Nothobranchius furzeri: one gene and its partner. The protein of the gene in region 2 interacts with the protein of the main gene of each other region in a pairwise test. Links are inferred from orthologs where the notes say so. Each region holds a gene or a part of one and is shown on either strand. Other genes may lie near its edges. The genes, in order: gpn2 and gpn1.

What was found.
Region 1: the proteins of gpn1 (region 2) and gpn2 interact in binary tests that used the Homo sapiens proteins (3 or more experiments, as listed by UniProt). The link is inferred for Nothobranchius furzeri from reciprocal best matches to the Homo sapiens genes GPN1 and GPN2.

What each region holds. Positions count from the first base shown.
Region 1 is NC_091745.1:40,676,929-40,681,185, forward strand, and holds gpn2 (GPN-loop GTPase 2), read right to left. Parts: upstream 3,114-4,257; 5' UTR 2,775-3,113; coding exon 2,355-2,774; intron 2,286-2,354; coding exon 2,129-2,285; intron 1,989-2,128; coding exon 1,828-1,988; intron 859-1,827; coding exon 728-858; intron 540-727; coding exon 467-539; 3' UTR 213-466; downstream 1-212. Other genes in the region: gpatch3 (G patch domain-containing protein 3), read right to left, coding at 3,443-3,626, 3,715-3,842. UniProt on the Homo sapiens protein: Small GTPase required for proper localization of RNA polymerase II and III (RNAPII and RNAPIII). May act at an RNAP assembly step prior to nuclear import.
Region 2 is NC_091749.1:65,752,883-65,755,775, reverse strand, and holds the end of gpn1 (GPN-loop GTPase 1), read right to left. Parts: intron 1,961-2,893; coding exon 1,814-1,960; intron 1,725-1,813; coding exon 1,642-1,724; intron 1,533-1,641; coding exon 1,493-1,532; intron 1,427-1,492; coding exon 1,336-1,426; intron 1,259-1,335; coding exon 1,154-1,258; intron 1,022-1,153; coding exon 915-1,021; 3' UTR 680-914; downstream 1-679. UniProt on the Homo sapiens protein: Small GTPase required for proper nuclear import of RNA polymerase II (RNAPII). May act at an RNAP assembly step prior to nuclear import.

The DNA of each region.
Region 1 (4,257 bases), on a different chromosome or scaffold from region 2:
ACCCCAACACCTCTAAGATGCACACATCTCATGTTGCTTTCCACATTCATTACAAGTCTTTATTATTTCCTCATGCATCTGTTCTGATCTAATTGTTCACAGCTGCACAAATTAAAATGACAAAAATATTCTTTTTCATTTAAAGATGTTGAACATCTTTTTAAGCAAGTAGAAATACACAAACAACAAGACTACCTTAGAACATCTATTATAAAAAAACAGTTTCTGTATTTATTGTAGTAAAAGTAAAAAACAAAAACAAAGTAATGGCGCTGCTAAACAAAGCTCAGCCGTTGCTCTCTTCTGCGTTCCTCGTTGTGGTTCCTCCGAGGTGTGGTGAAACTATTTTACTGTGCGGCAGCCAAATTTAGTTCCCGTCTATCCAGCTCTCTTGTACCACGGATAAATTCAGGACGGCCAAGAGCGATGTTGCCAAGTCTGAACAGGTAAGTCTGAGCTTTCTGTTTTAAAGCTGCATTATTTCCTCCTCCACAGTCTTTGCACTGGTTTCAACGTACTTCTCTTGCACACCAAGAGCACTGCAGGGTGGAACGTCAAGAAAAACCCAAACAAGATGAGTGAATGGTCTATTTATATAACCATGCTGGTAGGGTCATTAACTAATATGTCAGTGATGAAATAGAATCCTAATTAAGTGCTAAGTGGTAAAAGTGGCTTCAGGTCTGAAGTGAAAACAGATGAGTCATCAGAGTTGGGGAAAGGATACGAGCTGAACTGGAAGTCTGCTCCCACTGCAGCTGACATCATCGCCTGCAGATTTCTCTCCTCCAAGTCACCAAAGCAGTAGCCGTTGGCCTTGTCCACCGCTCGCAAGACCTGAATCATGCTCTCTTTGTCCTGGAGAGAAAAAAACAAAACAAAAGCACGTCATCTGGGATTTCCTCGTAAAAATTCTCTGAAACTATTTAAATTAGTCGACCAAAAACCTGACAAAATCCTGTTGGAGGTCCTTTGTATTTGTTCTTTTCCTGACTTATAACAGCAGGTAATCTCAGTATCCGCTAAACTTTTCAAATCTAGTTTCATCTTAACCCAGTTGCGTTTATCTCCTTCCAAGGATTTCTGAAGCCTTCTTGGAAACGCGGTGACTCCACAGCCTCCCGTGTTTTTGTTAATCAAGGTTTGGTTCTGGGAGATAAGCTGCACACAAAACCACAAGTAGTAAAGGTCTTTGACACAAGGTCAATCTTTCAAAAAAATATACTCTCAGGGTCAAAAGGTAGGCTTTCTTGCTTTTTAAATCTGTGCTAAATACCTGAGGTTACCTAGGTAACAAGTGGCTGCATAGGCTGGCTGGGGCATTCCCATCCTCACCACTAGAGCCGCTGTGTCTATTGTGTGGGTCTCTTAGAGTAATCAAACAGTTTTCCAGTTAAAAGTAATGTCAGGGACAAATGTGGTGTTTCATGTTAACTGTCCGTTCCATCGGAGGATAACTGCGCCAATCTTCAGGTTCAAATGCTAAAAGCAATTCATGATGGTCTGGTTTGAACTGAGAAATAGGAGGTGAGTGACCTGTGATTTCTCTGAACAGTTAGAAAGCCAACGTCAGACCTTAAAGTGATTTCTACGGACGTTCTGTGGGAACTCCGTCTTTGTAAAATCTACGAGCAAAAACGCACCAAAGAACTTGGTGCTCAGACCTCTGAGTGTACTAGAGCACCTTTGGTACAAAACTAATCTCAAATGAAATGCAAACGTACGTAATAAATATCCACTTGTGTGGTTTTACAGCTCAGGCAACAGGAAGCGGAAGTGTGAACCTTTAAAAAGCCACAACTGCACAACTAAAACCCGCAGTGATACCTGCACACTGAGAGGGACAAAGGAGACCAGGCTGTAATCTTGTATAACTTCGGCCAACTTCTCATTAAGGCGGCGAAACTTTTTAAAGAACGGATCTGCAGCCAAGTGATCGAGGAGAAAGGTCAGGTCCAAAACTTCGGTGTAAAAATCCAGGTTGAAGGCTGTAAATAAGGACAATAAGTTGAATGCTTGGTGTACAAGTTAGAAAACTATGCGTGTCATTCGAGAGAAACAAGCCACATTTATATTGTGTTTCCTGTTTATTTTGTATTTAGTTACAGCTAGCAGCTCTTGGTTTTACCTAGTTTTCCATACTGCTCAATCAAATCCATCTTAGAGAGGACATTGACGTGGGGCAGCTCCACGTGCAGCATGGTGGAAAGAGACGTGCACAGCACAGAGATGAACTTGGCTGGGTCAGCGCAGTAGTGAGAGTCCACAAGGTGCACCGCTGTCAGCTAAGGAGACGATTAGTGGAAAATCATCACCATCATGAGCATCTAGGGTGAAGAATGATCCCAACTTACCCTGAAATTCCACTTGGCCAGCTGTGAGAAAATGTTCTTTACTGAATGTTGGTGTGTGTAAAGCTCCACCTGACCGGGACAGTCAAACAAAAAGTAACAGTCTCTGTATTGTGCCAGCTTGCTCTCCAGCCAGTCCAGGTTCGTCTCCACATACTCCATACAATAGAGAAGTCCCCCGTTGGGTCCAAGCTTCAGATTCTCCATAACATCATCCAGAGTGACCAGATCTGAGATGTCCACCGCGCAGGAGCACGGTTTTCCTTCATTAGCTGGGTCCATGTTCACCACGACCACCTTGCGTCCCAGACTAGTTAGGAACTGCTGCATGCCCTGGCAGTAAGTGGTTTTACCTGAGCCCGGGGGTCCGATGACAACCTGACCGAAACGCAGTTGGGGCTTTCCTCCGGTCTCAGAGGTCATGGTTTAGAAATGCTCTCATCAGGCTGAGGGAGTTCACATCGGATGAGACCAGAAGATGTAAAAGGAACAACAACAACAACAACAACAACAAAAGACGTGCTGATGTGGCGTTAAAAAGGGCTCAGGTCAGTTTAGCTTCCCGCGTGAACGTTGTAACGCACTAAATGAGTTTTAAGCGAGTCGCTACACCCAACTAAGTTCTACAACTTTATAAACGTGCGACTCTTTGATCCAAAACACAACCTCAAACGAACAGAAATGCGCTGTAGCTGCACGGATTTGTTCATAAACACCAATGCGAGCCACACGTTGCGTACAAATGAATCAACACATAACAAATGCTAGCTTAAGCTAACAGGAAATACGTCCGGGTTAAAGGTCACGCTTGTCAAAATAAAAGCACTTTACGTAGCAGCGCAGCTCGAATGAAGAAACCCGGTTAATTTTGAGAGCACTTTAGTTTACTTTATCGCTACTTTGTATCACTTTATTATTTGCTCTAAACAATATTTGAATACAAAAAACAATGCTTAATGGAACATTAGGTTTCTCTGACTGAATTAATAAAAACGATTCTCAAATAATCTGAGTAAGTTAAAAATGCTTTAATACAAACTTGATACAAATATCAAACAGGTTAATATACAGATTTTATCAAACAGAACCAGTCATCTTTTTAAACCAATGACTCCCCCTGGTGTCCATCCTCTGTACTTCATGCTGGTGTTAGGTTGGCGTCTCAGTAAGGTGTCACCTTTATCAATGTCTTTAGGTTTATCGTACACTGTACATATGAGATGGTTTGTTTTGGCCTTTTTTAATGGATGCAATAACAGTTTTTCTCCATGATACCTGCAAGAAAACAAAACAAAACATCAGTATCCGATCGTTTTGTTTGCTCCCAGCTGTTGACTGATTGTGTTTCCGTGTTTTAACTGACCCAAAGCCCCTCTTGCATTTGGGATGTTGACCCTCATTCTCCAGAGCTTCAGAAATCCCAACCTGGCTGTCTCCCAGTCCCTCGCCATCTTTCCAGCCCTGCCTTTCCATTATGCGTCGACCAAAACCCTAAACCAAATAACATTTACTCTAAATTATTATTACAAAATAAAAAAATTCTCATCAAAAGAGCACACAAGAATGCAGAGAAATATTTGTGTGCACGCACCAAATCAGTGTAAATGAACTGATTCTGGATGTCTGGTGAATACTCAGCAATGACTGGTGAGGGGCGTTGCTGTAGGTGTGTGAGTGTGTTATGTCATGGTATATAAAGGTTATGTCCATAGACGTGTGGGTATTTATGTAGGAATGTGGAAGTGGGGTGAGCTGGGGGATGCCATGTTTTGTTTTGTTGACCGTGTTAAATGATCAAGGTTAACCTCCCACTACTTGTACCTGGTCAGCCTGTGTCTCAGTCTGATGAATGAATCGGGATTGAACGAAGAAAGAACGGATTAAATGAATAATGTTGGAAAGAAGC
Region 2 (2,893 bases):
CCACACACTCGCTGAGATCCAGAGCCAGCAGCGTGGTCGGATAGAGGTGCTGCTGACTCACTCAGCAGAAAACGAGTGTGGAGCTAAAAGTCGATGCAGGATTCACGCTCGCCTCCAGCCTGCGCAGCGTTGTTGAAACATCAAACTCAATAGTCCCTTACCCATCAGGCAGACCTAATCCTAGTCCAGAAGAGACACAACTGGAGAATAAATTAGGGAAATAAAGTAAAAGCACCCCACCCCCCACCCCCCCCCCCCCCCCACACACACACACACAGCTAAACTGCAGCTGGCTCAGAATAGGCCCAGATCTGTCAGCTGTAGGACCAACGGAGTTGAATTCAGCATCACTGAAGTGACTGAAAACAAACAGAAGGGATCCTGATTCAGTAATGTTGAACATTTTGGACACGTTTGCAGAAAAATCAGGACATAAAAACCGGAACAATCAGAACATTTGAGTGTTAAAATGCCGCAGAGACGTTAGAAAGGAAGGCGTGGAGCTGAACCTGCTTCTATTGGAGCGGGAGCCTGACTGGATGGACGGATGCTTGGATAAGAAACTACTGGGTTCGTTTCACCCGACAGCAGAAAAACACGTATTAATATCAGTTTGTCTGCACTCCCTTCGTCTGAGCGTTCTCTCATTCATTCCAAAAGACAAGGACTTGGACCAGCATGAACCTAAAGTTTTATTTTGTTGATCGTGTATCTTTCCATCCTCAAAAACACAAACAAAAACAAACGAGACAAAACAAATAGAAAAATAGATTTATTTTTTTGCCCAGGCTGACGATGCTGGAAAACCAGTTTGAATGAGGGGTCAGAGGTCATCAGTCAGTTTAAAATGTTCTACATTGACAGGATCCATTCCATGTGATAGTCTGAGTCCAAAAACGAGATGGGGTCAGAGGTCAGGGAACATCGGGCTGCACACGCTTCTTGTTTCGAACCTGAACCACCTCCTTTCTCTCCTTCAAGAAGTTTCCAAAGGCGTCGTTCTCTTTGCTCTCCTCCGTCACTGCAAACCAAGTCAACAGCTAATGAACAGGTACTCTCACTGAAGCCCCACCCACATCAGCAGCCATGTTTCTCACTAACGGCAAAATCAAGCAAGGTTAAAATGCTAATGGTGTTTGTGTTCGTGTCTCACCGCTGTGGTCGATGTCATCTGTATCGCTGTCCACCTCCTCCTGGTCGTCGTCCAGGTTTCCCCGAGTCATGATGAGGTCACTGGGTCCTGTGAGATCAGCCTCTTCTGAGAAAGGGAAGTTACCGATCTTATCAAATCAGAATTTTACTGCAGCGGGGTGGAGGGGTTTCCTGTCTGTTTACCTGAAGATGGAGCGGAGGTCATGTTCACGGCTCCCAAGTCCTTCCGGAGACGCTCCAGCTGCTCCTGCTGTTTCCTGCTCTGGAGTTCTGCCTGGAGACCAGGAAGTACAATAAGACAAGCAAAACACACCTAGACAACACTGGAACACACACTCACCAGCTGCTTACGGAGACGCTCATATTCAGGACGATAGTCCCTACAGAGGAACAAAATTCAGTTACGTTTCCTGACCTATGACCTCTAAACCTCGATCCTGACGGCCATGTTGACAGAAGAGCTTTCCGTGTCTTCGTGTCCTTACTCACCTCTCGTACTCTTTGGCAGCGTCCTCCACCTGCGCAAACAACTCCTTCAATCCACTTCCTGTCACTGCAGAGACGCCCACCACCTGTCCACAGAGATGTCACAGCTCTGCTCTTCATCTTCTCTCTCACACTCACACGCACACACAGTCGCCTCGCCAAGGTGGCGTCTTACCCTCAGGTTGGTATAGAACTCATCCAGAACCAGGCTCATGGAGCGGGTTAAGTTGCTCACATATGACGTCTCCTGGTTAAGAGCATCCTGAAAGACCTCGAAGTCCTGCATCCACTCCACTGCAAAGCTGTGGTCGATGATGTCAGTCTGCAACATCGAGACAACCCTTCAGCAAGAACTACAAAGCTGGAGGTCTTTCTTCTGTGTCTATGGCCTGGTCCCATTAGCCGCACTGCATCCCACGGTCCTCAGCGAAGTGCACAGCAAGGCTTAGGGTGCAAGCAGCTAGCCTGTTGTCGCCCTCTGCTGCCCGCCCGCTTGGATCGTGCATGGGACTGCATCATCGGAGGGGGGAGAGCGGGCAGCAGAGGGCGACATCGTCCTTTGCTATCCGCGGATAAACAGAGTAGGAAGTGACGCCACCATCGGCGTCAGCTCTGAGGATGTTTTGCAGAAACTAGACACAGTAAGAACACACCAACGACGCCCCAACCAGACTGTGGTCTTCTGCTAAACGTGAAATCAAACTATATAATGAGGCTGAGACTTCAGACTCTTATTTTGAAAGGCTCAAGCATGTATTACATTGGTGTTGTCTAGTTCCCCTTTTCCTATCTGATATTTGTAGTTAACATTTTATTGTACAAATTTCACCTGCATTTCAGTATTTAGGTTGTCACGTTCCTCAAAGTCACATATTTAATAATATCCACATCCGATCAGAACTTCATATGTCTCATTAACATGTTCAGTAGGAAGTAGGGCTGCAACAACAAATCGATGAAAACTGATTATTAAAAGCGTTGGCAATGAATTGCGTCATCGATTCGTTGTGTTGCACAACTCTTCCAAAATTATTATTGTCAAGCAAATCATGCACACCTCAAAAAGCAGCAGTCGTCACAAATAGCAGCTGTAAGACAATTCAGGTGATAGCATGTTGTTTTTCTGCTATTGAACTATTTTCTGCTATTGAACTATCACACCTGTACTGGCGCGGCTCCACTGGCTACCCGTAAACTTTAGGGTCAAGTTTAAAATCCTGATTTTTGTTTTTAAGGCCCTGAACGGTCTGGCACC